Linked DNA regions of Drosophila melanogaster. The gene in region 2 interacts genetically with the main gene of each other region. Each region holds a gene or a part of one and is shown on either strand. Other genes may lie near its edges.

Region 1 (8,276 bases), on a different chromosome or scaffold from region 2:
ACGAAAACGAAAGGGATGGAGTTACGTTTTCCGGAACAACCTTGGCTTATCATAATTCTTAGTAGTCTATTTTTAGCTCATGAGAAGTTGATATTGTTTAGTAGGGCAACTGTGCTGATTCATTTCGTATTAGTTGTATGTACGGAAGTTGACTGATCTACAGTTGCCTTACTAAATAGTTATCTTACTCATCTTGGATTTAAATGTACATCCGTTCTATCCTACATTCTATATTCTAGTTTTAACAGCTATTAGTGAAATTCAGTTCTTTTATGTACAGAAGTTGACTGATCTACAGTTGCCTATCTTGTTATCTGCTTTACTCGCATTGGATTTAAATTTACATCCGTTCTATCCTATATTCTATATTCTAGTCTTCAAACGTCGGTTTCGGACAATACTATCAAGAATATTGTCATAATATATCAAATAAAGACAATTAACATTTAGAACGTAAATTTCCCACGTGCTAATTAAGGATCACATACACATCCCTCTGCTTAAACATAAGTTGATTAGTTCTATGCTATCTTCTCAATTACAAGTTCTTAGTCTAAAATGAAGAACTGACCAATGCAATGGGAGTTAACATCCTTAACAGCTAGTTATGCATATATGGTAATTGAAGTTCAAACTTCTCTGAGTTGCAACTTGTTGGTTCACAAAGTTTTTTAGAATTCCAAAGACTGCTGCAATTTAAGCTACAAGCTAGTCACATGAATATGGTAATTAAGTCATAATATGCCTATGTTTTGATGTTTAAACTTCCTCTCTAGATGCTGACTAATAAGTCATAATAAGCTTATGTTTTGATGTTCAAACTTCAAACTCTCTAAATGCTAACTATAAGTATGGTAATTTAAATCTTAAGTAAATTGAAGTTCAAACTCTCTCTAAATCCTTACATTAATGCGATTTGCAGCAGAGCTCCACAGCCCATCCTGTCGATGGTTGTAAAACGACTGATGCTTATAGACTAGTCCGCATGGCGATAGAGTACGATCTGCAGCCGATTGCCTGGACCGGATCAGCATCAGAATTTCGGCGGGTGCTATGAGCTCTCGGCATTCTTCTTCTTCAGCGTCTCCATGACGCCGGCGAAGTTGGCCGTCTTCTTTTTGGCCGACTTGGGCGTGGACGTCTGGCTGCGGACGCGCATCTGGGTGGGGGCCACATCGTCGCTGAAATCAAAGTCGTTGGCCTTCTGCGGTCTGCGGGGACACGAAAATCAATCATAAGTTATGTTAACCTTCGGATGGTGCTGCACTTGTTCTTACTCCTGCTCAATGGCGTCGGTGGCCTGTTCGAGTTCCTTGCTATTGCCGCCAGATCCCGCCTCCGGCGATGGAGCCCTGCGTCCCGGAAATTGCCATTGCAGTTCCGGAATATTTCCCGCCTCCAGCATCAGATAGTAGCCCTCTAGCTCCTCCGCGTTGGCGGAGAACTTGTCCGCCGTATTCGCCGCCGGCTCCACATCCGTTGCCATCGTTTTCTCGGATTTAAACAATCCAAATGAACTGGAAATTTGCGTTTCTTTCCACAATAGAACCTATTGGTTTCGCGACCTTTCTGGAATGAAAGCGATAGTTTGCTTTGGCGTGCTTATCGAACAGTTATCGAACGTTCGTTGCTATCGATTTTCGGGCTTAGTGTTGCAAAGTGTCCGAGCTGGGCGGTTGATTTGAACACATTTGCTGCTCGAAATGGATTTTCTATTTATAGGTTTCATTATTCTCTTCTTTATTAAGTGCACACCCATGCCCGGAATGTTTCCGCTCCGAGTGCACACAACTTCGAGGATTGTTCTCGATGGCGCATTGTTTGGTTTAGGGGGAAGAACAATATTATCTTGTTGAGACTTTTACTTTTTAGGATGGAAAGTATGTGTTTAAATATTGTTAATCTGTACAAAGAAATAAGAACTAACAAAAATTAGACTTCCTTTTTAATGTATATTCCTCAAATTACGAACAAACGCTAATATGTTTTAGGAATATTTTAAAAGTCTTCTTGGCAATTTGATTTGCACTTGAAAACAGCTAAAATGCGTTAAAGAAACCAATCTCATGCATATGGAAAAGCCATCGATTATTCATTTTATTTGTATTTATTTACTTTGTGATTACTAAATTCTTAGAACTTTATTCAAAATCATTCTCGCCCGTCATGCTGCCGTTCCTGCTCCTCCGCTCCGCTCCGCATCATCCATATATATATATATATATATATATATATATATATCATATATCATATATCTCAGTTGATCTGATCTGATCGGGTCCACAACCGATTGCTGCCGGACACGGATATCCCTGTGCTGATCCTCCTGCTGCCTCACGAGCCCTCGCTGATCCTTGACTCGTTGCGGCTGGGTGTTTAGCGTTCTTTTCTATGACTTACACATACCATACATATACATAAGTATTATTATTATTATTATAATTATTATTATTATTATTATTATAATTATAATTATTATATTGTGGTTTGCTGTTTGCTTGCTTTGTATACTCGTATATAAAAAAGAATAATCGTACATATTTAATTTAATTAATTAAAAACACAATTTGATTGCAAAAAGAAAGGTTTCTACAATACGTAATTAAATACGGATACGTCCTGATCGTTGGTATTGTTGCCGCCACCGCCACCGCCTCCGCCGCCGCCCCGATTGGAGGAGCCGGATGATTTGTTAGAGCCATGAGCGGCGATGGTCAGCTGGTTGGCCTGATGGATCACCGAGGTGATGTCGCTCTGCGACGCCGAGATATCCTTGCTGGTCAGCACATCGCTGCTACTCGATCCCGACGAGATGTGTCGCTCGGCGATGCCGTACTGGATCGGCTGATAGCCGTGACTTGGATTGTACGTGGCCGAATATGGCATATAAATGGGCGGGTTCGGTAGCGGCCCGATGTCGCTGGTGATGCTCTCGGTGTCCGCATGGCTAAGCGCATGGCCGCCATGCCCGTGCGGCAGCTGGTGCGGATGCAGATGTCCTCGGCCCAACAGATTGGGATTGCGCTCCTCGTTCACCACGTAGTAGCACTGCTCCGAGAAGGTCAACTTATTGACCGTATGCTTGATGTAATTGCTGCGCAGCATCGCCGAGACGATCCTTCGCGCCTCCCGCCTATCCTGAACATCCTCCACATTCTCCAGCACCCAATTGACCGCATCGGCGCCGATAAATGCATTGGGAATCGTTATCTTTAGCCACATGCGATCCCTGATCTCCAGGCCGCTGTCCGGCTTCGTCATCGCCTTAACGATCTCCTCGAGGTTATTCTGGTCCAGACGCTCCTTAATCGGCTCCGCAATGTCGGCAATAATACTGTCGTGCGATGTGAGGGCCTGAGTGTGCGCCACCCAAGCACCGGGATCGATGGGTCGCACCGGCTCCGTGCGCGGAATGGTGAAGTAGCCCTTGGGATTTGGGTCCCAGCACTTGGCCACCACCAGCTTGATGGGTCCCGGCTTCTGAACGACTTCTCTCAGCACACGTACCGCCTCGTCGTTGGTCATGTTCTCGAAGTTGACATCGTTCACTTGGAGGATCATGTCGCCCGGTTCGATGCGTCCATCGAGTGCCACTGCGCCGCCTTTCATGATGCTGCCCACGTAGATGCCGCCGTCGCCGCCGCGATTCGATTGCCCGACAATGGATATGCCCAGAAAGTTGACCGCCTCCATGTTGATGGAGACGGTAATGATATTTAGGGACATGGTCGAGTCGGTTATGGAGCTGTACGAGGAGGTGCGCGACATGCTGGGCGCCCGTTTTTTGCGCCTCTGCGGCTTCTTGCGCACCTGCAATCGCTGAACGCTGCTATAGTCGGTCATGTCGCGGTCCAGCGTCAATTCGGATTCGGTGCCAAAGAGACTGGTCGAGTCCAGATCGCTGGAGAGCACGGATGCCGATTGATATGTGAGCGGTGGCGGCTGCAGCAGCGGATTGCCCATCATCTTCTGGTGATGGAGCACCTGCTGCTGTTGCTGCTGCGCCAGCTGGACAGGCTGCACCTGCTGCTGCTGTTGTTGTTGCTGTTGCTGGTGCTGCTGCTGCTGTTGTTGTTGCTGCTGCTGATGCTGCTGCTGTTGCTGCTGTAGCTTCCTGTTGGTCAGACCCATGCCCAATTCACACTCACTGGTTGGCAGCTCGGAGCAGTTATCTGACTGATTGGTACCATCGGCGGAGACCAGCCAGGACACCACTCGCCCATTGAAGCAGGGCAGTATGGTGGAGTCGTCGGCTATTTCCTCTTTGACCACACCGAAATCGGCGTCCATTGACTTGAAGAAGTACTTGTAGTTGTTGTTCTGCTTGTTCAGCACCAGCTTGAAATCGCGCAGCGTCACCTGGGCGGATGGAATGGGGATCTTCACCAGATACGGCGTCGTCTCATCGTCGATGTGGTATATCACCTTCGTCTCCTGCCCGCCGCCCCTGTCCGCGTCCATTTTAGCTGCGCCGACTGCGGAAATCCACGGGAAAACTCCTCGACGCGATAAAACGCGATCAAAACGAAATGCGATGGATGCGGTGGGGAGGTGGCGTGGGAAGTTGGTGGGGAAAAATCACAGGGAAAACGGGATTAAGCCAGGGAAAAGCCGATACAACAAACAAAATTCACTCGATTTTGCTTTTCTCCCCCTGGTCGCTCTAGCCCTCTCGCTCTCGCACGCGTTTCTTTTACTTTTTCTTTCTCTTTTTTTTGGGCTGGGTATTTCGATTCAATGGAAGCGGCGGCTGTTAATTCGTCGATTTGCACGGCGTTGATATTGCTCCATTAGCACGATTTGGTGCGCTTTAATGTCGGTGCACGCAGCGGGGGCAGGGCGAAACGAGCATATTGCTAGTTTATCAATAAATTTGTTAGAATTTTGAGACTAAAAAAAAACAGTGTGTTAGCCGCTCGTCACGCACGGAATGCCAAAGCGCCGGGCAGTTGGTCACACTGCCGGCGATGCCAGACCCTTTCGAATTCGAACATTCTTAACATTTTCTCAAACGAATATTCTGAAAAAGCGTATGGAAAACTACTAAAAACTGCAATGTATTTAGTTTCTATTGGAAATGCTCTCTCTAACGATATTTGCTTTACAATTTGAATGTAGTTCAAACACTTTTAAAATTAAATACCAAAGTTATCGATAAATATCGTTTAATTTGAATACTTATTCAAAACAATAAATTTATTATAATTTAACAAAATAGCAATTTCTATTACATAAAACATGTAGAATCTAAAACTACAGCTATATTGAACTCTTAATTGTATTAATTTACCATATAATGATGTAGCATAGTTGAAGAGTGTCCTGTTTAAAAGTAGAGTCTTTATCCTTGTCATGGAAACTTGACCAAGGAAACTCATCCATCCATCCACTTGAAGCCTGCGTTCCTTATCTTCTTTCGCTTTTCACACGAAAATCTCTAGCGTTGGCCGCAGTTTATTTATAGCTGCCCGATTTCCAGATAACCCCGCCCGCCATTTATCACGCAATGGCGCTCGTTATTTAAATCAGTTTTCTCTTTTATTTGTATGCTTTGAATTGGGATCACTTAGATATACACTCGACTAACTTACTGGCTAGTCCTCCACGCGGGCGTAGGCACATGTACGCCCGGTTTTATATTATTGAATCGACTACGATAATAGCAATTTAAAAAAAAAGGATTTCGAAGGGGGCGGGACTCGCGGGGAAGGCGGAGGGGGGCTATGTATTCCAACGCATTTAAAATAAAAATCATTATTGATATACCTCGACCGCCCGGAACTTCGCAATCCCTTCGAGAGTTGGGCGAGCATTTTACAATTAATTGTTTTCTTTAGTTTAGTTTATATTACATAGATACATCTGCCGTTTGTATTTATGTATGTCCGTCCGCTGTTTATAATATACGAGATATATATATATAAAAATTTATATAAATATATATATATATATATTCATATATATAAATATATAATTATATATACGTGTATATATATTAATATATATTTATATACATACATATATATATATACATATAAATATATATAAATTTACGCTACACTAGCTATTACAACTAAGTTAATGGTTTTACAAAAAAAAACTTGTATCTGTTTTATTACAACTACAGCATAAAACGAATTATCGAGTGTCCGCTTTGTTTGTTTGTGTATGTGTATGGGGGAGGGGGATGGGGATGGGGAGGGGAGTGCTGTGTGTGAATTATTTTTTACAATGTGATACGTGCTCTTCCTGTGGCCACCATGGACCAGGCCTCCACGCTCACTTAGCGTTGACCAGCTCGACAATGTTGCTGCTGATCGAGAGGCGATCGACGATATCCAGCAGGATCTCCACATCCTTGATGGTGGCAACCGTCTCGGGGGCACCCAACAGATTCACATGCTTGCCATCGATGTTCGCATAGAAGCATTTGTTCTTGAAGATGACGGCCCGATCGTAGGGCACGCGGCACGTGTTCTTGTCAACGACAACGCGCCGGAAGAGCACGCACGACGGCTGATACTTGTGACGGTCCTCCTCGGGTATGTTGTACGCCTTGAGATCGCCCGTAAAGATGGTCATTGTCTGGCGGGGCATCATCGACGGCGAGACCTTGTACAGCGTCACCTTGCTGGTCCATTTGCCCGATGGCACCTTTATCCGTGACGCCACATTGGCCAGCTTGACCAGCGCCAGCTCCAGGCAGGTGCGCTGCTGGCGCGCCATCTTCGACAACATATCCTTGGCCGTGCTAACCACATGCCACGTCTCATAGCAGGTGATCTTCTTTACCACACGACCATCCTCCTCGTGAAACGTTGTGGTCTCGGGCGGAAAATATTTGGGACTGTTGGCATCGTCGATGCCACCGCCGGTGGGCAATATTTCGCGCAGCGTTGTCAGCTCCTTGTCGCGCTGCTGCTCCTGCTGGTTCTCCTTGCTGCGACGCTGCGGAACCAGGCTCGGCTTCTTGAACACCGGCTGGACATCGTTATCGGCCAGCAGATTGCTCAGCCTCCGGTCCGCAATCAGCGCATTCACCGACGACGCTGTCGTGGACAGCACATTGCGCCGATTGTTGTTCAACTTGTTAACCGCTACCGCTGCTGGAGCGGACGTCATCGCCGCCGACGCCGCCACCGACGTCGTTGTCGTCACCTGCTTGGACTTGGCATTGGCATTGACATTGGCATTCTTACGGGTAACAATAGATACCGGTATATTATCGATATCAAAATCGAGATCTGGATCCGGATCGTCCTCTTCGGTGTCGACGTCCGTGGGACAGAGCTCCTTGCCCATGCTCATCAGCGGTTTCATCGACTGCGTCTTCTTGCCCATTTCCGCGTTGAGTATCCTGGGCCGGGGCTTCGGCAGTTGACTCTGGATATGCACTGGTCCCATTTTGGTATTGACACTACTGTTGCTGGCCAAGATCTTGATGCGCTTGGCTGGATTCCCCGCCGTCGTATTGTTGTGGTTAACAGCAGCGGACAGGGATTTCTGCGTGCTGTTAACAGTGATGGATTTCTTATCGCCGGCAACCGAATTGCCGGTTCCGATATTCTTGGTACGGGGCCTGCCCAAAGCGACCTTTTTGATTGAATTACCGCCAGCTGCGGAAGCGGCCATAGCAGTGTGTGATCTGGAAATGAGCACATCGTCCTGATTGATAATGTCATCGATGTTTACAATGGTGAATGTGGGCATATCCTCCGATTCGGAATCGTTTTTCCCATCATTGCTAGCGTCACCCTTGCCGCCGCCACCACCACCGCCAGTTGAGCGCGTTGCGGGCGTGGATCTAATCGAATTCGAATTGGAGTTCGACAATGAGTTTATCTTGTTACTGCTGCCGCGTCGCTGTGGCAGCATCCTGGCTGACGCACTGCCCGCCTGGCCCACCTTCGGTCGCGCCGTGATCGCTCTCTGCGCGCTCATCTTGCTGTTGGCACCATTCACCACAGGCGGTCCGCTGCGCTGCTGGGAGCCGCCCGAAATGATTATGCGCTTGCGTGGCACAGGACTCTCGCTTTCGCTAGTGTCCATTTTGCGTTTGGCCGCGGCGGACGCAGTGCCCTTGCCCGTGCTCGATCCGTCTGTCATGCTGGCATTGCTTTTGGCCATATTCGTGGCCATTGTGCGACGCATCTGCTGCAGGCTAGTGGACGCCGTGCGGCCGCTGCTCGAATTTATGGATATCTTGGATGTGGCGCCGCTGCTGGAAGTCAGATTGCCAGCGCTGGTCGCGCTGGCATTGGCATTGACATTTTTCG
Region 2 (7,952 bases):
CCGGAGCCTGCACGTTAGTATGCATAAGCTGCTGCAGTTGTTGCTGCAGTGGCTGTTGTTGTTGCTGTGGCTGCTGCTCATGTGGCTGCGGAGGCAATACAGTTTGGGGCTGTTGCACTTGAACTTGCTGGGGTATTTGCTGCATCATTTGTGGTTGTTGCTGTTGTTGGTTCACTTGCTGCTGCGGCATGACCTGATGATTGACTGTTGGTGCCACTACGGGTTGTTGCTGTTGCATTTGTTGACTGCCTGTCGGCGAAATGACCTGGTTATTGGTCATCTCCTGCATCGATGCATTCGAATTTTGATAAGAGGCCAGCTGTGGCGGTTGAATGTAGTGCACCGTCGGCTTCTGTTGCATGGGAATAGCCGGTGACGGAATAGCCTGTGGTTGCACCGAGATCAACTGGGAAACAGGCACTTGACCTGGGACCTGAACAGGTTGCTGAATGCCACTGTTCGGAATCGAAGTGTTCGAGCGAGTGGACAGCTGCTGCGGTTCGACGCTGTTCGTGGATAGAGCCAGGCTTGTTTCTGAATCAGTGTTAAGCAGGTCATATCTTAGCTGCAGGCGCTGATTCCATTTAACACCATCCTCCTCGTCCTCGGACTCCTCCTCCTCTTCCTCGTCTTCATCGACGTTAGTCGGCAAACTCTCACGTTGCTTTTGCAATGCCAATTTTTCCAAACGAGACTTCTCGTTTTGCAGCTTGATTTGAGTTTGACGCTGGGCACGTTCCTTAAGCAACGACACCACCTGCACTTTTAAAAGCCGAGCTACAGCGCGAGAGTCGTCCTCAGATATAATATTTTCCTTCATCATTTCTTGCGCAATCTGTTCGTACTCGTCATGCCTGATGTTGTACTCAAACTGAATTGCCTCGTTTTCCTTATGACGGGACGAGCGCTTCTTGGGATCCATAAACCGCAGTCGGAACTCGATGATGCTGATGCTCGGATCAGAAAGGAACTGCTCCGAAGCAGTTGGCTCCACTCGTATACCGATATCTTCGTCAAAGAACTCCGATTCTAGCAGTTCATTGCAGCTGGGGCGATCCTCCTTTTTAAGTTCAATGCACCGTTCGATAATGTCGCGCACGTTGGGATCCTCCACCTTAGCCAACGCCGCTGGCTTAATGCCCGATATCACCTTTTTGTAGATCTGTGCAGGACCCTTGCACTCACTGTAAGGATATTCGGAAATGGCCATCTCCAACATGCACATGCCGAATGCATATACGTCCACCGACTCGTCGTAGTGCTCCTCGTACATTTCCGGGGCCATAAACTCCGGCGTACCAATCACAGATTTCGCGTGGGAGCGGTTTTTCAAAGTTGCCAGGCCCAAGTCGCCGATTTTAACACTACCAGTGGTGCCAGTTATAAAAATATTATCACATTTCAAATCACGATGAATTATAGGAAATTGACGAGTATGCAGGAAGTTAAGGCCTTTTAGTATCTGGCGACACCATGACTTCAATACCTTTGGGTGTATTTTTTTGAATCGTTTCAAATAGCTATAAGGAAATAAGAGTTTATGTTTACAATTCGCCCATTAAAATCCATGTTTACGCTTACGATTTCAAAGTTCCAGATAACATTAGTTCGGTGACTAGTACAATATTCTTCTTGCGGCCAATAGGAAACTCCCAATATGTATAAAACCGCACTATGTTTGGGTGCTGAAGTTTCTTCAGCATGTCTGCCTCCTCGCGAAATCTAGTACGTTCACTTTTTTTTACTTGCTTGTCCTGTAAAATAGGTAAATAAAATTGTACATTTTCATGTTACCTAATGATTACTTTAATTGTGATGATCCATTATATAAAAAAGATTACTCAATCAAAAATTCATGATAATTATTATCTATCTGATAACTTGCTTATGCAAGCTTGTGATCATGTTTGCTTTGACTAATAATAATAATACTTATACATATGCCCAATGGCACAACAATAAACTTAAGAAGTTTTTTATCTTACCAATAACTCGCACCAGGCAACTGGAACACCAGTCAACGTGTCCAGGCCACGATAGACAGTTTTAAAGGAACCGCGTCCGACTTCCTTATCGTACTTAAAGAATCGTCCGCACGGCGACATGGCCACCGGATCATCGTCCTCATCGCTCTTACTCTTGGTTATCGATGTAGCTGAAGATGTGGTGGAGACCAGCGACGTGGAGGGCAGGGGAGATGCAGATGCATCTGTCGAGGACCCGGTGACAGCAGCTTCCTCTGCGCTAGCCTCGGAGCTCTCCGCTTTTTTGGTTATGTCGTCGAAGCTCTTTGCCTGCTTTTCGCTCTGAACTTCGGTATCGTCCTTATCCTCTACTTGAAAGCCAACTCGTTTTACGCCGCTTGAGTGCTTGGTAGAAGACTTCAATGGCACATCGTCTTCAGTCTTTTCGATTGTAAGACTCCGTGACGCTTCGGTTATAATGTTGTCGATGATTCCGGCCACATGGTGGGAAGTGGCATCCGTAGCATTGGAGCGCGTAGGCGTGCGGAACTGCTCCTCCAGATGCTCCGCCTCGCGGGAAAGCATCTCGATGTTGTCGTCATAGTCACGAGGAAACTCTGTCTCGAGTTCAACGAACTGCAGTGGATTGGTGTTCCTGCCTGACTGTTCCACATTTTTACGGACGAATCGAATGTTTTGCACGAAGTTCGCCGTCAAAGTCGTTGGCGTGGTCTTTGACGAGTGCAGTGGCGCCTGCTGCTTGATCAATGGCTCGATCACCGTGTCCGAGGAGGACTTTCTGGCCTCCATTTTCTTGGTGTCTGAAACAACCGCTTGCGACGTCCCCTTGACTGACTTGTCTTTTTTAGGTTTGCCCGAAGTAAGACCAGCTTTCTGGTTGCTTATGGCATCTGCAGGTTCTATTTTGCTATCCATTTCGTCCTCATTCTGTTCCCTGCTCTGGTTGTCCTGAGAGCAAAGCACCTCTACATCGGTTGATTGCTGTTTGCCTAAATCGCCGTTGTTGTTATCGTTGACTTTCGGTACGTCGTCCACGTTTTTCGGGCTTGACGCCGTTTTGCCGGGAAGGGTGTTATTTGAAAAGCGTCTTAGCACCCGCACAAATAGGTTACTTTTGCTGGCAGCTGGTGGTGTAGGCGTGGTGTTCAGCGTGGGTAGAGAAGAAGCTGGCTCGATAGGTGATGACTGGATTGAAGTGGTGCTGCTAGTGCTCGTGTGTGCAGAAAGTGTGCCCTGCTTGCAAGTGGGCTTTCTGTTTAGTGTGTCTTTTAGTTTTGATGTCGGGTTCGGCTTTTGCCTAGAGGAGGCAGATCTATTAAACGAACGGTGTCCCGACTTTTGTATATTAGCTCCCTGCACAGTTTGCTCCTCGCTAGAAATTGAGGTATTCCTAAAAGAATGATAGAAGTAGTTGATTAGATTCTATAGACTCACAGGTACAACAGTCGAGTTTTCCACAGTTCTCAGTAAACTTCCTTCCAAGAACATTTTATAAACATTCGATAAACGAAAAAACGGTTTCAGTTTACGTGTTGTTTATCTAGTAAGTTTTGCTTAAAACAGAGACGTTGAAGTAACAATTCCAGTTGAAGCATATTTAAAAATTAGTATCCTAGGGAAACAAATCCTTTGTAGGATACTTGGTCAGTTTAACACACTACATACAAGGATATTTTAAACCAGCTTTTACGTTATTTAGGCATATATGAAACAACGATTGTTACTTCAATCATTTTTTGTTATGTGCCCTGATTTAAATAAAAACAATATTTAAATAAATAGAGATATTCCCTAAATGTTTTGGCAATGACTCCAACTCACCTTTGAGGTTGCGTGGTGCAGGAGGTAGTACCATCTTCGCTGATGGCGCTTCCCTTCCGAGCACGGTTCGCAGGTACGACCTCTTGTTGTCGTACGAAGTCGCAGAGGGTTTGTCCAATTTTGCAAGATTTTTAGCAGCAGACCACCACGTTTAATCTGAAGCGAGAGGCAAGGCGGTGAATGAGTACATGAAGGCATGGAGGAATGGAGCAAAGGTTAAATTCCGGCACTATTGACAGGAGGAACTGGCTTGGACTGGGGCAGAGACATGGGCAGGGGCAGGAGCAGGGAAAGGTGACCATTCCCACACCCACTTATGTTCGTTGCTTGGTGCCGACGTCTGAAATATCGCTTACAGCTGGGTGGAGGAGGTAGTGGCGCCGTCTCCAGGAGGCCGAGGTGTGCGCTTTCCATGAATCACTAGTTTCGATTGCACTACGTTCGTCACTGGCTCTGCCGTTCCACTCTACTCTGTTCTGTTCTGTCGCGAGGGATATGTGCGTATGTGCGGTACGCTGGCTATACATACATATTTATGTACATTTGATTCGGGACAGGAAGCATATGCAGCGACTATGATGTCATGTTTCCACGCCGCTCCTTCCGGAAGTCCTTCGCTCGACGGGATCGTGCTCGAGTTGGGGATTTACGACCGGGACGGGGTCTAGGGCTCGCACTGCGACTGTCGGATCGTTCGCATCGAGGATTTCAATTTGTGATTGTGGTGTTCAAAGGCAATTCGAGCTAGCAAGCTTTCATATTACGGCACGGGGGATTGGTAAGTCTTTCGGGAGATAGTGTCACCTCCACAAGGGGGGTCAATTGGATTGAACGCGTGCGAGAGTCAGCGGAAAATTGAAGTTATTTCGCCAGAAGTTCCCTTTACTTTCACAAAAAATTTTACAAAGCAACTGGGTTTACTTGTGTTCGTGATCTATCGATAGCGCATATTGTTACACAAGTGTTATCGGCGGTGATGCCACCCAAGCTACCAGCTTGCCTAATATATATGTTACGCATTAGCAGAGATGTTACCTGGCCTCTGTTAACTTGAACAGTAGACCGTTACTCTTCGAACGAGTTATAACATTGTTAAGAATACTGTATAACCTTTAAGCATTAAGCCACTTTTTTAAATTTCATTTTGCCTGCCATAATGAAACAGATTACAAACAGATTACAGCTGTAAAAACCACACCTAACAAAGTCTTAATAAATTCCAAACCCTTATACAGGTTTCCCTTATTCAGCAAGAAGATGCTCCTGTCTCTTTTGTTTTGCCCCTAAGGCAAAAAGCCCAGATAGTCTCTTATTTTATATATATAAATATGATTTTCGATAATGTTTTCTTGCAATTCGTTAATTTATTTATTATAACTAACTTCTCTGAATGATTTTTGAGATACATACAAATATATTGTAGAACTTAAATATACATGCACTAATAGTTTATAAGTTATCACTTTAATGAATAGGAAAGCTATAAGTGCACGATATTTTTATACGTGAACAACAAATCAAAATCACTTTTTACAAAACCCTACATTTTACCATTTCCACTAAATTTGCATATTTTGTAATCGCTAGAATAAATTAAATTAAAACAGTTTTTTATTTTATTTTAGTTTAAGAGCAAGATCCTTTACTCTTAATCGTCACACCTGGAATAGAACATGTTGGTTTAAAATATATACAGACAATACATATATTGGGTATGAAACTCTTACTTATATTGAGGCATGACGAATAGCACTGCAGTTGGGTTTCGCCCGTGTACATGTATCCGTCGGATCCACAGATTATTTCATCGTTTTCATCGTACACATTAGCACATATCTTCTCGCAGTAGTTTTCCGTGTCCTTTGGATCGTCAGGAGTAGCTGAACTCGTCACAGTGGGCACCTTTGGAATATCTTGCTGAAATGGGCAAATTTAAAATTAAAAATGTAAGAGCTAAATTCACAGCAAAAAGAATTTGATCTTATTAGGAAAAACTGTTACTGGTATTTGATGAGTCGTATAATTTTTGTAGCTTGAGTTGATAGAATCAACTATTTTTTTAAGTTTATTTTTTCAAAGAAGAGTACTATTTTAAACCCGTAAACGATTTGATCGAAATTAAGTACTCACTAAATCGCGTAAAAATCATTATAAAATGCCTTAAAGGTTGGAAGTGCTTGTTTTTGTGGCCACTTTTTGGCCAACAAATATGCTAGCTTATATAAGCTACTTGCGGTTTTCACATTTATTGAGAAACAGAACCAACCTGCTTTCCACTTTCAGTGTCGGAACTATCCTCTGGGTCATCGGTGTATTCCTTAATGGGCTTGCTGAGTTCAATCTTCGGGGCAGGAGATTTCGCGGGCTCGCGGGGAGCTTGGGCCACGGTTTCGTAGTAGTACTGATTGGCTTGCGGGGCTTGGGTGTACTTCATCGATCCCCTTATGGCATCTTGCTCGGTGAACTCGAATCGCAGAGGCTCCGGGGTAAAGCTCTTGTGGGTCTTGGCGAGGTGCTGGCTCTTCGACGGCGATTGAGTGGTGGTCTGGACCGCCATGGGAGTAGAGACCACATGCTTAACGGCTTTGTTGCCGTCGGACTTGACAACGAAGACATCCTGACCTGCCTGGTAACTGCCGCGAACCACTGCGGAATTCGCAGGAGCGGGATCTTGCTGGTAGAACAAGTCGGACACTTGTATGGGCTCATTGTAACTGGAGGAGACTGAGTTGTCTAGGCCAGCAGTTTTGTAGGGAACATGTTGCTGCAGCGCTTGTTGCTGCTGCGGCTGCTGGTGCTGCGGTTGCTGATGCTGCTGCTGTTGTTGCTGATACAGTTGCTGCTGCTGCTGCTGTCTGTATTGCTGTGGATATTGGTGGAGCAGCTTCTGCTGGTCCCGCTCGGCGTCCAGTTTCTTGAAGTCAGGATCCCTCTTGGGCAGGAAGTACTCGTTGGTGCTCATGAATTGCAGGTAGTCCTGCGCCTCCCTGGACTCCTTTGGTGGTGGCACTGCCTGGCGAAAGTTTACCGCCTGCTTCGCAGGTATATCGGTATCCTCGTAGACAGAGTAGCTATTTGGATCCTGGGGAAACTGGCTGTTTTGGAGAGCAGTTTGCTGGGTAGGGACAACACTGAAACTGGGAGATCCCTGCTGTCCGAAGAGCTTGGGATAGTGCAGGTACTGGGAGGCCTGGACGGGAATCGCATGCTGTTGGATGGGTGCGTACACTGGCTTGGTGTCCTTCATGATCACATTGCCATTGAAGCGCGGCGAGGACTTGAAGTTCTGAATGTACTGCTCGGAGACATACTGGAGTGGGAACTGGTTTTTGCCCACATCTAGCACCGGAGTGTCCTTTACGTGGGCGAATCTGCCCTGCTGACTCTGGTCGAACTGGTACCTCCTGAGCTGGTCGTTCGCAGGAAAGTTCCCGAACTGCTCGCGACGCATGATGTGCTGCGCAGTGGCAGGTTGCGGCGACCGCAAGAACTTGTTGGAGCCACCAGAAAGCATGGCCAGGTTATCCGATCGCGATCTTATCCGGGGCAGTTGTCCGGGACCCGGCGGCCGATTGTGCTTGATATGGTGCTGGGCCAGGGGCTGGTTCTCACTCAGAAACTGCCTTATGCGCGCTTGTCTCATATCATTCTCACCGCACTGCACTTGGTTGATTAGGACCACTATCAGAACTAGGGCCTCCAAAATGGGGGCCAACTTAAGCGGACTCTGAGTCATTTTTAAAGCTCGTCTTCGTTCCACGACGGTCTATTGGTATTTGACATTTGTCAGTTCCGCGGCCAAAAGCAAAAAAGTTTCTTTCGAATTAACCACGCACACATGCGAAGCTTCTTTTCCATTCGACGATCCACGATCGCGCAGACTTGATCTCACTTTCTTTGTTATCCGGCCAGTCGTTTAAATAAAAATGGAACGCCTCGCGGCACTGCAGCCAAATACAATGTGGTGGCCTCGTCTCTGGGCCCAGATGCAGCTATCTATGTATATCTATTTAAAACCGACTTGGTTCGCCATATCAGCTTAAGATGGGCACTTTTTCTAGAGCCTGTGGTTCCAACGCCGCAGCACCGTTAATCAATGGAGGGTCTCGAGCATCCACATCCATCCGATTACTTTCTTCTTGAATT
Region 3 (7,654 bases), about 18 Mb from region 2:
TCAGAATAGAACTCTTGCACTATAATTACAAATTTCTAGCCACTTGGCCTTATTTAATTTAAGAATTGACAAGGGTAACTATTATTAGGTGAAATTTTTTAAAATTTAATATGTATTCCATATAATTTCTAGTCGCATTTTGTCTTTTTTTATAAACCCAGATTTGTTATCAGCTTATATCTATATTCATGGCAATACAATAGTTTGTAACGATGCCAAATGAAATTACGCTGCTCCTATGTTTTCATCGAGATGCGATCTTGCACATTTATTAACTCTTAATTAGAGATAATCTCCATCGAATTTATTTCGAATGCATAAACTGTGTATAATAGAGCGCCCTGTGGCTATGCAATTTGTTGGGCAATAAATTTCAATAAAACATTTGCATCAAGCTGGAAATTCAAAGCTTATGGGTGTAGCCACCCTCGCAATTGGAAGAACGGCAAACATTTCGCTTGCCATTTTTTTATCAATTAAGATTATTTCGTTTTTTATTTTGCCACAATAATGTTGTTCTTTTTCTTTTTGCATAAATTTAGCGGGCGGCAGTTGTGCAAATAGAGCTCAAAACTCAAAGTCTGGGAGAGAGAAAATCGCCGTGCCGAAGTTCTCTTAATAAATCGCCCGCAAATATCTCAAACGATTTCGACACGCGTTTTTCGCGTTCTCTTGTATTTGTTTCGTGCTTTTTATTTTGAATATGTATCTTTTTTTTTGGCATTTTTAAGGCATTCATCATAAAGTTGGAGACTCGAGCATCGAGTGAATCCGAAACCGAAAATCCCAAATGCTTTTGTCTTTTCGTCAACATGTCACAGCCACTAAACATCAATAAGTTGGGCTTTTATTGATTTCGAGTCGTCGTCTGTCTTTTTTTTTTTTACTACAGCTCATCTTTGTGCGGAGTTTTTAGGGGGATTTCGTGTTTGATTTCTTATTTTTTATTGAGCATTGGCCACAATTAATTAGCTAAATCTGCATTTTGCATAAATTACACATATAATATTTTCATATTTCAGTTTCCAGCTTTCGGCCATTGTATTTCTGTCCCCCCTTTTTTTGTGGGCCAATAAATCAAGACCGGAGTTGTTTTTTGTGGGCCACCGCCAAAGTTCTAGCCGATAATTTATTTGGGTGACTTTGAATGATTTTAGCGGTGAGTTTCAAACGGCAAAGAGGTTCTAAACTAGTTTCGCTTCCCTAAAACTAATCACTTTGGCTACTGTTCGTAGATGCCATCGATAAAATGATATTGAAATTCTCTATCGGCTCAATTTGCAATTGTCAGGCAATTAAAAACAAATTTTTTTTGATGACAAAGTGGCAAGAACGAATCAAGTGGCATATTTGTAGCGATACATATGTATATTAGAAAGTGTTATACATTTTATTTAAAATCAAGTTCTTTTGAAAATGTGGGATAACTTATATAGTATGCGAACTACAGTTTGTAATACGAAAACGATTCCTTTTTGGCCAATTTACAATTGTCAAGCAATTAAATGCGAATATTTTCAGGCGACAAACTGGCAAAAGGACATTTATTTTATTTATTGGAATTTTTTGCCAGAAATCGAAATCGAATGGTTTGCATTTAGGGGTTGGCTCGTAAATTCCAGGGGCGGGTTTGGGTCTCTATCTTCCTTGATTTCTTTTTTTTTTTTTTTTTTTGAGTTGCCGGCAGACAGGAGTGGCAATGATTTGTGGCATTTTACAATTTTACAGGCCCAAGGGCCATGCATCATTTGTAGGCCAACTAAGCGTCCTTTAAGGACTATTTTGTGGATGCACTCGAACGAACAATGGCAAGACACTCGACTCGCCTTCCATTGTGCGGTTTTGTGAGGACCTCTTGTGCCTCCTGCATTCGATGTTCATTCGAAGAGGACTTCTCGCATTTACCTGCTAAAAATGCTGCTGCGATTTTGACACATCTACCCAGCGATCTCTTCCTGCAATTCGCATGCGCAACCCGACTGAAAACTGACCAGGAACTCTGGCATCTATTGTCAATAGGTATGTACATACTACATATATGGATTCGAGGCCCAAAACAAAGGTGTGATATTTGTTTCTCTTTGTCCCTGATCGGGGCAATTGGCTCAAGTCAAGATGCATTTTCCGTTTGCCCATTGTTTTCCCAAGGAGACAAGAACCGAGGCGTAGACTTCTTGTCAGCGTTGACAATTAGGCATTTTCGACCAGTGGTCACAGGACACTCTTCAGAATGTCCTTTGTTTGGGAATCCAATTATTAGGGGGCTTGCTGAAAAATCTGCTGACCGCTGGCCAGGCAGCTGGTTTTGCAAAACATCCTTTTGGTAAGTAGGAAAATCTTGGCCATCGGCACGCGCTCCTTTTTTTGGTTTCTTGTGCGGGATTATGGGACAATGGAGTTAGGCGTGTAATCCTCAAAAGGTGTTTTGTCAAACACTCAAAGCTAATAAGTAGATGGAGATATAGAAAGTCAAATCCTAAAATCTCTGTAATCACTCTGTATTTTTAGTTCGCCTTCAAATACCCAATTGCCAATTAAAGAAAACTTTTTCGAACCGCAGATGGAGGCGTCAACGACTTCTTACACAAAACATTTTTGGTGTATCTATTTATGGGAGGTTTAGTTTTTTCCAATCTTTCAATTTTCTTGTGAATTATTAATGAAAAATCGATTATTGAAATATGTATATACGTTTTTTATAGCTGCTTCGCAGGCATTCGACATTTAAGCGCTTAAATATTTATGCCTTTTTTATATCTCTTTCTCCGACTGACTACCTAAGAGCAGGGAAAAAAAGACTCCATCTCCATACTTTGTTGAATATTCATAAGGCAGCGCCTAGTGGCGTCATTTTCGGATTTGGATTTGGATGATAAAGCGGGGCGGCGACATGTGGAAGGGGGGGGATCCACCAACATCTGGGCCGGGTCAAGATCGATGATGTCAAGAAAAGGTCTCTCGCCGAGAATCCCCCATGCCCCTTGACCATCGACGGCACCTCAGAACTGTTGACATTTGAGTTCTGGACTTCGAATTGTAAGCGGATCCCCCGCTGATCTGATTTTTCCCCCTATGACCGTGGTGCGTATAGAAATCTAGCTAAATAAAATCGGGCGATTAAAATTATATCGCAGAGCAATAAGCGTCAGCACCTTGTCCAATTTGCTATGGTAATGAAAATTATGCTCGTCGAACAAAGCCATGGTAAATCGATCATCGGCGAGCATAAATCATGATCGATTCTCTGCAGACTCATGGCAAATATTTTTCGAAAATCCTGTGGGTGGTTCACACACACAACAAAAAAAGCCCGTCGCACAGCGGGTGTAAAAATCGATTAAACGTTTTCGGACTGGGTATGAAATAAAATCAAAGTCAAAATCAAATTCGAAATTCAAAAACCAAAAAATATGTGTTGTTGAATGAACAAGGGATTGAGCAACATCATCTAGGCGACACGATCAATGCAATGTCTTGAAAAGATACAAAACAAAAAAAAAAAAAGGCCAAGTTGAATATGATTTTTGGGGTTTGGTTGCAGATACATCCGAATATCAGCCTTCATTTCACAGCCAATATTCGAGTAATACCCAAAAGTGTGGGCTGCGATCTGTGGCTTATTCGCTGAGTGTTTTCGATGGGAGGAACCCCACTGTGCGATTTGTGTGCTTTTCATATTCACCGCCCTGTGTCGTCTCCATATTTTTGAAAACTCATCGTTTTCCAGCCGCTATTAGTGTGCTGGCTTTTTCGAATTGAATTGAAACTGTTTTGCTCCGGTTTTTGTCTTAACTCCGGCTCACTTCTTTTTTTACTCCCAATGGTCGAGCAAACGCCGCCTGTTGCGTTTTCTGGCCCAATATGCTCGCAGCGGGCTAGGAAACTTTACATAAAAAACTGATTTGTGGGTCACTCGGGGTCTACTGGACTTTATGTCCAGCAATTAAAAAGGAAAGCAGAAACTTCATTTTGAGGGGGTGTGCAAACAGACCGCTCAAACGCCGAGCAATACGGGTGGAACATGCAACACTTACAGTCTAATTTAATAGAGAATATTAAAGACTAACTTTATTCAAAAATGTAGAAATTTATAATACACAGACTGATAACTTTCCTCTTTCCAATAGCAATAAAGTTGATTTTTTACAACTCAATCTATCTTTTTATAAAGCAATCGAGACTCACCTTCATTTTAATTGCCTCCACAATTTTGGCGGTTGTTAATCCAAGTATCTTGCTCGAAAATCTGTCGCCAGCTTTAGCCTGGGAATCGATATCGAGCCCGATCGCAGCCAGTATGAGGAGATATAGATGATAAAGACGACGACTTGATCAGTTTGTCAAGCGTCCCACGGAAGCCGCCGTCTGCATAGGATGCTTATATAATCGTATTCTTAAACCAGATCTATTAATAACCAGTGTAAATTCGCATATCCGAGATAGAAATCAATTTGCAGGCGCTTGCAACATTTTTTTTGTTTTTGATTAGCACATTCGATAACAGTTCACTTTCTTAGCCGACGGCGAATGTTGCGTTTCGATTTCAATAATATAATGTGCGACACCTTATGGCATGGAATACTCGTAGAACCTTATCACGATAACACGTTTCACTGCAGATACTCTGAGCGCTTCTCGCTTTTCTCGTGACGGAGCGGAGCGGATCGAGCGGATCGAGCGGACGCGAGATGTTGTTACAGCTTCGAGGCCACTGCGTTAACTGCCGGCGCTCGGGGTTCGAGCTCAGGGATCTGGTGGTGGTGCTCAACTGGCTCGGCTCACGCCCGGTTTCCATATGCTCATGGCATGCCCGCCACCACCACAGGTATGATGATGAACCAGCCGTACGCACAACCACAACCACCAGTCAGTCCCATTCGAAACTCGACTCGAGAACTCGCTCAACTGGTTTTTGAGCGCACATCTGTCGTCGGCGCAACGGGAATGGTGGTGATTGGCCCGCCTGGCCACGCCCCTTTGCGCCCCGCATAACGAGTTCCGCAGTGGTGTCCCCCATTTTGAGTGCTTTCCCAGTCCGCGCCGCCTGTGCACCAATTGAGTGCGCCGGCGCGTGCCAACTTGGCCACTTGAATCGAGTCGAAACTCGGAGTGAAATCGTGCCGCGAATTGGGTGGGTGTTGCTCTGGTGACGATGTTGCCATTTCTACTGATATGGCTGTTACTCGAAGGAATTTCTGTCATATTGCTGGTGCTTTCGATGTTGTTGCTGCTGTTTTTGAGACTCGTGTGGCTGCTGTTACTGTATCTTTTGTTCTTTATAAAGCAGTATCTGTTGTAGCAGCTTTTCCTAGAAAAGATTTCACTGTTGTGGTTACTTTTGCCTAGAAAAGCTACCAATGTTGCTCCTGTTGCAGTTGTAACAGTTGTCATGCTGCTGCGTTTACTGGAACAGATGTTGCTTCTAACTCTTTTGCTTTTACTCAGGATATTTCCACTTAAGATTCTCCTTGAATTGTTGTGCCTTTCAATAATATTGCTGTTGTTACTGCCACTTTTGCTTTTTCAAGTAAGTATATTGTTGTTACTATAATTTTCACCGTGACTTCAACTGATGTTACTGTCATTTCTGCTTTTCCTGCTGACTTTTTTGCTGCCTGAGTGAGTAAAAGTCCAGGAAAACCCGAATATCGAGGGAGGAAGTAAGGGAGAGGGAAAACGGAACTCGAGCTCCGCCGCACTTGACTTTTTGGGGTCAAACCGCTTGATGGAGGGGAAGTGAGTTGATGCCAGTGGATGCTGCTGTCTTTTCGGTTATATATTTTTTATTTCTGTTGGCTGTTTGTGATGGCATGCCAAACATGATAGCGCAGCAGACTGACTCAAAGAAAAAAAGGTTTAAAGTTAAAAACATTTTATTTTATTTAACATAAAATTAAATTGCATGGCTTTAACAATAATAATATAACAACAATAACAATATATTGCTTTTATATTAATACTTTTAAAGAAAGTACTATTATTAATGATTCCTTGGTGCTAAATAACTCTTCAAGTTACTCCAGTTTCCTTTGTCCCCTTTATACTTTGATTTAAGCCTGAGTTTAAGCTTTATGTGCAACACCGATCCCCTTGAGGATTTCCATTTCGAGCACTTTAACCATTACTTTGCACCATTTTTCATTCACTGTCTCTTTGATCGTGGGCTGTCTCTTAAAGCCGCTTGGCATTCAATTGGCATTTGGCTGTCGCCATCATCCAGTCGAGTGGCCCCCACCGCCTCCTCCTTCGCCAATCCTTCTGCCTGCCCCCGTTTTTTTTACCACTTTTTCTCCGCTTTTTGCTTTGCTCACGTTATTTAAGGATTAACATCATTTTATGGTGCCTCGCAATGCCTTTTTTGCAGGATTAAATGCTGCTGCCTGCTGGCTCTCGTTCTCCTGTCACTGCACTGGAAAAAAATTAATATATCTTTAAACTGTTCTATACTTAAATAAAAGCTTCAAGCTTAAAGTTAACCATTTATAGAAATATCTGTCATAAAACCTGCAAACTGCTTTAGGGTATTGTCATTTGTTGTTTAATTTCCATTTCGTCAGCAAGTTGGTCATATTTTTTCAAGTGTAATTTCACACCCCCATTTCCCCCTCACGCTGAATTTTCCGCTCTCCTTTCGCCCCTTTGAATTGATTGCATTGCACTTTTTCTCGCTGTTGTTGTTGCATAGTTTGCGCTGATGCACCGCCTCCATGGCTACAAAGTGATTTTTATGGCTTTCTGTCAGTGTGTGCCTGTGTGTGTGTGAATGCAAATGTTTGCCTTGCAGTGCGTGTGTGTAAGTGCACTTTGATGTTTCCGCATTACAAAGGCGGCACTTTAATAGCGGTGCATTTATCAAAAGGCAGCCAAAAGTCCGACAGCAGCTGGTAGCTTTAACACGCATACGCCCCGTGGGATGCTGCAAAAAAAGCGCTCTGAAAACTGGGAATTAAAGGAAATAGAGCGCCTAGAAGAAATACTACAATAAGATTACACATTAAACCGATAAAATGATCCAGTTAACATGCAATTTTGCTACTTTTTCATACAATTGCCATATAGTGCATATTAAGATCTTCATTTGGATCAAAACTAAAAGCGAAATGTCTTAATTAAAATCATATCTGTATACTTTCCCTAATACCTTTGACTATCGCCCATTAATCAGCACATCGAAGCGCAGCCTTTTGCTTATCCTGGACCGCATCTGACTTTGGAAAGAAATAAAAATAGCTCGACCCTCGAGGCTCTAAATTGATTAACAGTAGCCCCCCGATCAAAAAATAATCCGATGGCTGGGGTTTCTGAAAGAGATGCTGTCATCGCATCGCCGTTCCGGGAATGCCTTCCATTTACATGCCATAATTCTTAAATGTCACCCGTTTACAAAAGCCTTGGCCATTTGATTTCGACCGCCTTCGAATTGGCCCTCGAACAGGTTGAAACCCGGGCAGGTAAATGGAACTGGAACCCGCGAACCCTAAATGAACACATCCTTCTCATATCTCCCATTGTTCGACTCATAGACCAGCGATATTATATTTATTTGGATCTTTATTGAGCTGCAACCTGTCGCAGTCGCTGGTTTTTGGGTTTGGGTTCTGGGTTTGGTTTCTTCGGCCTCTCCCTCTGGATCTGCCCATTTTGGTGGCAGATT
Region 4 (7,914 bases), on a different chromosome or scaffold from region 2:
AACAAATGTCAACTGATCTACGTGGAAGATGATCAACGAGCTGCCCAAGGTGGATTCAGGAAGTTTTTGGGAAAATCTAGTTGTGAATATCGGGATTTAACGAAGGAATCCCGGTTCCGAATGCAAGGTGTGGAAAGGGATTGATTACCGGATTAAAGTGTATGATGAGTTAGTAATCACTTCAATTTAGACTATAATACATTCGGAAGTTGTTAAAAAGTTCATATTGTCGCACACGTACATTGAATGAATACAACAAATATTTGGGGGAATTACCCTGAATTGTTTACAAAAACGTTTGTTTAACGTTCGACACATGTCTTACTGGGAATAGTTATATTCATACCCGCTTTCTTCCCCCTTCACAATATGATAAATTTTTCCACGTTTTGCTGATAAGATTTTACTGCATGTATATTATGTGTGGAGCACTATCTGAGATTCCGACTGTTCGGCTATTGTTTAACTTTTTTCGCCCACGACTGTATTCATAAGTGCGATCTGCGCTCTCTTAAATTGTCTTTCTCTTCGACGCTCATGCTCTCTTCCACGCAACATAAAAAAAGTTCAATCGCATGGAATGAACAGAGAGAGAGAGAGAGAAAGAGAGAAGTGTGCGAGAGGGACCAATGACCGCATTGAGCTATTTATAGCAACAAATAACGACAACAAAAATAACAGAGCTATACAACAAAGATAATGTGTGTGGAAATTGTAATTAAGTTTTCAACTAAATGTTTACAATTTCAGCTTTCCTTTATTTGCCTCCTTCATTTTGATTACATCGAAAAACCCGAACACGATAAGCTTGCGGTTAAAAACGGTAAGAAGAACAAGAGCAATTCGATAACTGTGACAGCAGCGATAAAGAAAACGCGTTTCCAGTTATCGGACGTGTCATGTGCCACTTAATTAAACCAACTAACTTTTTGGACCAACAACATACTTGGCGAATTTCGCAATTTAACACTTAGGCCAATTCAAATAAAGAATAACGCCGCAGGAAAACAAAAAATATCTAAATGTTTACACAACAAACAAAATGCGAAGCGGGGGGAGACAGGAAATGGCCTTTAAAAACACTTGGCAACCAAAAATAAAATTAAGAAAGCTAATTTAAGCAGAAAACCATTTTAAAATGGTAGAAGAGAAAGCTAAGTTAAGCTAATTTTCACAGATACACTTGAATACTTTTCTTATGACAGTGATTGAAGATTTAAAACAAAACGTCGATTTTGGAATTTGAAAACTCGATGACAAGTCAAAAACTCAAAACAAAAACAGAAAACTATGAAGATCTAAACAAAAAGCGTTTAAACAAAACTCAAATTTAAGCTTAAATCAATGACAAATATGAATTTAACTGGAAAGTGTGAGTAAATGATTTTATTTATGCAGACAAATTTCACAATTAATCAATACCAAGAGTAGTTGGAGAAAGAGAGAGAGAGAAGAGAACGCGGGAGAGACACACGATCATGTGCAACTGATAAGCATTGTCACACGACTTTACACACACACACACACACGCACACGTTTGGAAGTTCAATAAATTTTCATTTAGGGCTTTATTGATTTCTCGGCAAGGAAATCAAAACAATTTACGCCAAATGCTGAAGAAATAATTACACGATTCTCGTTGCTGCTACTTTTTTTTTGTATTCTGCTCCACACGCCGGCGCGACTGCGACTAGTGTCGTTTTTTCGGCGTAGCGATCGCTTCAAAAGCCGCGCAACAAATGAGCGCACAAAAGCAGAACAACAAACGCAATGGCAAAGCCAATAGCAGCGCAGGCGACGTCGACGTCGTAACAACGGCTTGTGGCAAAAACAACATGAATATGAGAGAAAAGCACAGAAAGTTGTATTATGCGAGCATCGGATACCCTACCACTAAATAATTTCGTCTTAAAGCTTTGCTTTCCAGAATTCTGCGGATTTAAATGTCTTATATAGATTCTTAAATCAAGATCTCCACGAATATGGGGGTTAGTACTTTGAAATATGCATAAGCCAAACGACTGAAGGGTATTATGCTAGTGTGGAAAGCTGAAACTAGAAATATACAAAAATAAATTTATTGAGTAAATATCAACAACAGAAAAGAAGGGCGGTGGGGCGGGGGTGCTGGTTGAGAATGAGGAAGCAGAGAGGTAGAGAGCGCCAGTGAGAGCGGGTTAAGAGCCGCACAGTGGGCGTCATAGATGAAAACTATCTGTTATTAGCGATAAAAAATTGTTTCGATAAAAAAAAAAATTGAATAAAAACTGTAATTTCAAAATGCTAAATATGAACCTCAATTTTGTTTCTGGTAAAAATAAATTGGAATAATAGTTCAAAAATATAGAAACTACTTTTTTCTACATTCCATGTTATTTGCACGATGTTTAGGCGATGCTGACCCACTGGCAATTGCACAATTTGTAAGGTTTTTCTTTTGTTTGCCCCCACCAATTTTCCCTGCGCCTCGTGTACTCGGATTTTATCAGCTCTGACGCGCACGATAAGTTAAAAAGTTTCCAGCGGCAATAATAACAACAAGCGAGAACAATTAGCAACAATAAAGACCCAGAGTCCCAAAAAGTGGAGCATAGATACAGCAGACATATGTATGTGCTTTCCATACCGCACCCAGATACAAAAGTGGAATCCAGTATCTCACTCTCTCTCGCTTTTACTCTTTTTCCATTCCGTTATCTTGCTGGGCAAGATAACTGGGTTAACATACTGGAAAGGGGGTTAATTTGTGGGGGGAAGCCCGCACAGTCATCATGGAAAATTCATAAATTGCATCCACAACAGCCCATCCATAAAACCCAGGCGGACATCTAGATAGATACAAATGTATCTATAGGTTGATTATGGGATCGTCAGTTTGCATTTGGCCATAGCGCTAAATTCTGTTCTGCTCTGCATAAAAATGCGCCATGGTCGAAGAACGAAGACTGAAGACTTATAAAAATAAGATATTCGCGCGCGCACACACACAATACTGATACTGATTTTTGCGTGGTCTATTTATTTTTAGAACGTCTCCGTCTCGTTGGCTATTTGCATATAATTTCCAATGCAGTTCGGCCATGGCAAAGTGTCTCGCCGTGCGGAAAGAGGCAGGTTTTTGGGTGCGTATGAATCCAAATGGATCGGAAAATGGAAAGCAGCTCAAGAGAAAGATTCGAAATATACTCTATTCTAATCTTAAACAAAATTGTGTTCAAGAATTTGCAAAAGGTTTGGTTACCACATTCAAAGTTGTTTGGTAATACTTAGAGTGGCTCTGAGCATTGGTAAAGTATTTGGTAACTCTTTTATTTTTTAAATAAATTTAATGTAATACTGCGATTTTCAATTGAGTTTTCGTATAGCTTGTGTTACTTCTGTTAATGGTAGTAATTAACTATAAATTGTTTCATTCAAAACAATTAACGAAATTTTCCACACATATAATTATAATTTAGGTGTACTAAAGTTGGCAATTTAAGAATCAGCGTGATTCAGTTACCTAATCACCTCACAATCCAGCTAATGGATCCTCTCATTAGCTCAGGTAAATGAATACGCATAAATATCTCATTCGCTTAACACATTTTCCGTTTATTGCACTCTGTTGCGTTTTGCAAATATGCGACAGCCTTAATATAGAAGAATCAGATAAATTACAAAAATACACGTGAGTGTATTTATAAAACGTCTCGATGGAAATGAATTTAACGACATTTGTAATTTCAATATTGACACATTAACGAGTTGCTTGAACTTTGAATTGCAGTTGCAATATCGCTTCGCATTAATTGTTGACACAGTTCGCACTGCAATCGCGCGCAAGAATGAAATACAAATGACTAGATACTATATCTATACTATGTATGTATCCGTTAGTTGAGTAGATGAGTGCGCGGCTATGAGTACTGAGCCGTGCCAAGTGCCCAAAGTGACTGTTTGTTTAGATTAGATTTTTAATTTGGCCGATGCCAGCGACTTTTCAGCACGTCATGTGGAAGAAGAGTAATTGATTCCTGGTTTTTGCATTTAGTTGCTGTTCTGATTTGGGAATATAGTATTTGTACTGGCATTGATGAATTCATATAGCGCATACTCATTTCGATCTTTTCGTGTTTTGGTTCTCGCTGTTGGTTCCAAATGATCAACAAATTTAAGAACTTTTCACAGGATATACTATAATACTGCATATACTGACAAAATTTGGAAAATCCCCTGATCTATGTATTTTGTGAATCCTCAACTCTCTTTGCTCAGTAAGTGTTTTTGCTTTGGAAGCCAAATAAATCCTAATAAAGTCGTTTTTGCTGAGTAAATTATAAATTTCGTTGTGACATGTTTATAAGCTTTTTGTGGCAATTATTTTTTAATAATTATTTAATTATCCCGAACCCGACTGGATATAAATCACAAGCAGTATAACGGGGATTCCCCTGACCGAATTCAGTTTTGGCAATTTAAGTTGGTTTGCCAAATTCGCATTTAAAATTCACACTCCTATCTATCAAATAGGTATCATTTATTTAGCTATTTGCATAAGGATACGTGAATACACGCACATACAGTATTTTTGGATTATAAATGACAAATGTGGAAAATAACTTTCGGCGATAACATGAATTTCAAATTAGTTTGTGCTTGTGATTTGCTGAAAAGTTGAGTGTCGTAATCGTGATTTATATAGTTGGATTTTTCAAAAATTTCAACCCACTTTGCTTGAGGCACACTAAATTCAGCAACTGCATTTTGTCTGGTTGTCACTATTTTTTTTTCTCAAGTTCTGAAATGATTTTAGTTCTGGCTGTAAATTGCTTTTAAGCCAAGATCTTTAGCCACAGATGTAGATTCGATCACACGCGACACTCGAGAATGACTGAGTTGAGTTATCAACGGAACTGCGATTGGGATTCGATCCGATTGCAGTTCGCCAAATCGCATTGCTCGCGATCGCTGAATGGGCCGCTCCTCCAGCGCGAAAATCACAAATTCGACTGAACTTCACAAATCGTTGTAATCAAACATTTAAAATGAACTGTTTTTTCCACCCCCTCCCCTTTCCATCCATTGCTTTCGTTTCGTTTAGCAATAAACAACAATAAAATTAAATGAGCTCTACAAATGGCGGAACACGACGACAGGCGATACTATATACTATAGTAAAAACGCCGTTGCCGATCGACGAAATAAACGTACGAAATGTGCGAAATTTTGCCGCCTCCATCAACGCGCGTTGGCGTTAGTTAGTAGTAGTTAGTATCCGCCTCTGTATCCCCATCGGTGTCTTTGTATCTCTATCTGTATCTGTAACACCAGGTGTATCTATGTATCTACGTATGTCGGTTGACGTAAGCTCGGATTTGCCGGGCTTTATGGCCAAAGCCCAGCTGATAACTAACATGCATGAGTGATTGCCTTGGCTTCCACTTAAAATTTAAATACCTTCGGCAGGGGATTTTCGGGAATTTGCATAGGCAATTGTTCCTAGTTCCGTTCTAGCGGGTTCTACAAATTTCGTTTGATACGAAATAGAAAAACAACATATCACCAACTTTTATAATTAACAGGAAGTCCTTGTGTCGCGAATTGTGAGTAAAAGTTGCTTTTTACAAGTAAGTACTAGGATATTCATAGATCTATAAATGTAGATTCTTCATATCTTGGAGATACAACGTATCTCTTTCTATCCTCAAGAGGACTGTCTTTGGTAAGACCTCTCTTTTCTTATAGACGTCTTTCAACCATGTTTACCCTGGTTTTTAGCAGCACTGTACCCAGGTAATTCTTCTTCATCGACAAAGACATGCGCAAGTTTGATGTTATTATTATTTTAGCAATTTGCATACGGCTTATGGGATGTGTATTTTTAAATTCTTGTTTATAGTCAAAGTGTGCTGCCTTATTTTCCTACTTTTTGCTTTAATCTTATTTTTAACAAGGGAATTTGTTGTATCCAAGCCAACAGAGCTTGTGTATCGAAATGTGTGAAATCTGTCAGGCTGTGCAAAATCGTAAATATATCTATAATTGTACGCTGGGTTACTTTTTATGCGCACCGGCGATTCGAGTCAAGTGATCGAACGCCCTCAAAAAGTTTTGACACTCGAAGAGCGCAAAAAAAAAAGAAGCCGAAAAAACCAGCGATTTAATTAGCGCCCAATGCCATTCGACACGTGTGTGGGTGGGCCAAAGGTTGAACCCCATATTCCTGAGCCCCAAATATTTCGCTTTCTACATACATATGTAGATATACTACTCACAATACTAATACTAGGCGTTGGTCATAAACTCTGTGAAATTTTTCACTTGCGTGACGTCGGTGACATCAAAATGAGGAAAACTCATTAATGACCACGAGCTGGGGGCCAGCTATGATGAATGAACCGAAACGAACCTATTTAGTATACTAAAAACTACAGTGGATATACTTTTGTATATTTGTATACAACCAGCTATAGAAAAATATTATTAAAATGCATATTTTCTTTATAGTCTTGTACTAGTAAAATGTTTTCTAAGCAATCGAGATACATTTAATGAACAAACTTGCTTTAAAAAGTCTAATACTATAAAATCCCATGAAAGATATATTTTTAAAAGTATATTGCAGATCGACGCGTTGTTCGTGAAACTCTATACATTTGTATAAACAAATGCGCATAGTATATTTCTTAAAAAAAATTCAAAATATGTGCCATGTGCCATCGCCCATCAGCGAAATCAATGCTCACATGCTCGGTTCAATTTGCTGGTCAACATCTCATGTGATTTCTGCTCAGTCGGTCGATTTCTCAAGGCAAGGACGTTTGGGACTTTTGCACTCGCAAGTCATTTTTTCGCAAGAAATTAAAAATAAAAAAACAGCAGTAAATAAATCAATATTCTTGTACGCAAAACATTTTGTCGAGCTCGAGGGTATTTCAGTTCATTGAGTTCAAAAAGCTGCGCAAATGCAGGAAGTTAATGTATTCGGAAGTCATATGACAAACATAATTGTCGCGCATTATTATTCAAAACTAAAACTAAATGAGCCGCGTTAATTGCTCTTTTGTTTTATTGCCAGAGACAGCAAGGTTTTGTTTAAATAAAAAACAAATTAAGCGTGTCAAAAATGTGCAGCGATCTTTTGAGAAATTTTGTAAAGACAACCCAACATCAATTCAAGCAATTAAGAATTAAGCCTTCTTGTTTCAAAATCAATAAGTTGAAGTTGGAATTGCTTGTGTACCTAGTTCAGTATGGAGATCTCATATGAAGTAACCTTGCCACAAGTCGCACAATCGCGGGGCTTAATGTTGCCGCCCCTCGATATGCAAAAGATGAGAGATATATGTACATAAATCGTAAAGCCGAGACGGCGCGTTGACAATGCCTAAAAATAGCAATCGCAATTGAAATTTCGTTCCATATTAAGCGTGGAGCCCAGTGATAGTTTCGTTCTTTCCCTGGTGGTCATTGTGGCTAAATTTAAATCTCTGAACGTCACATGAGTGGGTAGGAAATGGTGTACGGGATTGTACTATAGTGCGGATTGGGGCAAGCCTTCTCCTTTGGTGCAGAAATTGTAAATTACAGAGCGACGCAAGTTCAAAGTCAAAATAGCAATTGAACGAACGAGCGAACGACGGAGGAGGAACAAGTCCGCATGTCAGTCAGTCAGTTCAGTTCAGATCGTGGCGATGCTGGTGATCATCATCATGTTTCCGCTGATCGTACAAGATCATTATGCCAATTTGTTGTTGTTTTTCCGCTCGACCGAGCATGCAAACAAATTAAGACTGAGGGCGCCGTGCCCCGACTAGCGAAATTTAATTAGCATTGCCTCACTGTGCCCGCATTCAATGCACTGGCAAATGATATTTTGAATTATTTTCAATGATTACTCTATAGGAAATGCAGAAATATATGCAGCAATAT

The links.
Region 1: of Wnk (region 2) and dsh, changing one suppresses a phenotype caused by changing the other (phenotypic suppression), as found in Drosophila melanogaster (one study listed by BioGRID).
Region 3: of Wnk (region 2) and Awh, changing one suppresses a phenotype caused by changing the other (phenotypic suppression), as found in Drosophila melanogaster (one study listed by BioGRID).
Region 4: of Wnk (region 2) and fray, changing one suppresses a phenotype caused by changing the other (phenotypic suppression), as found in Drosophila melanogaster (2 studies listed by BioGRID).

Annotation. Positions count from the first base shown.
Region 1 is NC_004354.4:11,352,539-11,360,814, reverse strand, and holds dsh (dishevelled), read right to left. Parts: upstream 4,935-8,276; 5' UTR 4,462-4,934; coding exon 2,590-4,461; 3' UTR 2,091-2,589; downstream 1-2,090. Other genes in the region: Pa1 (PTIP associated 1), read right to left, coding at 1,052-1,211, 1,278-1,486; CG1737 (uncharacterized protein), read right to left, coding at 6,280-8,276.
Region 2 is NT_037436.4:21,550,219-21,558,170, forward strand, and holds the start of Wnk (Wnk kinase), read right to left. Parts: upstream 4,711-7,952; 5' UTR 4,336-4,710; exon of another isoform or gene 4,163-4,335; intron 3,963-4,162; 5' UTR 3,926-3,962; coding exon of another isoform or gene 3,807-3,925; intron 3,376-3,806; coding exon of another isoform or gene 2,901-3,375; coding exon 1,986-2,900; intron 1,755-1,985; coding exon 1,582-1,754; intron 1,521-1,581; coding exon 1-1,520. Other genes in the region: CG7173 (uncharacterized protein), read right to left, coding at 5,433-5,467, 5,534-5,723, 6,073-7,542. UniProt on the Drosophila melanogaster protein: Serine/threonine-protein kinase component of the WNK-SPAK/OSR1 kinase cascade, which plays an important role in the regulation of electrolyte homeostasis and regulatory volume increase in response to hyperosmotic stress.
Region 3 is NT_037436.4:3,843,279-3,850,932, reverse strand, and holds the start of Awh (arrowhead), read right to left. Parts: upstream 4,728-7,654; 5' UTR 4,192-4,727; coding exon 4,186-4,191; intron 1-4,185. UniProt on the Drosophila melanogaster protein: Probable transcription factor. Required for the establishment of a subset of imaginal tissues: the abdominal histoblasts and the salivary gland imaginal rings.
Region 4 is NT_033777.3:18,578,302-18,586,215, reverse strand, and holds the start of fray (frayed), read right to left. Parts: upstream 5,001-7,914; 5' UTR 4,746-5,000; coding exon 4,712-4,745; intron 3,938-4,711; exon of another isoform or gene 3,862-3,937; intron 3,633-3,861; exon of another isoform or gene 3,511-3,632; intron 1,744-3,510; exon of another isoform or gene 1,630-1,743; intron 337-1,629; exon of another isoform or gene 149-336; intron 1-148.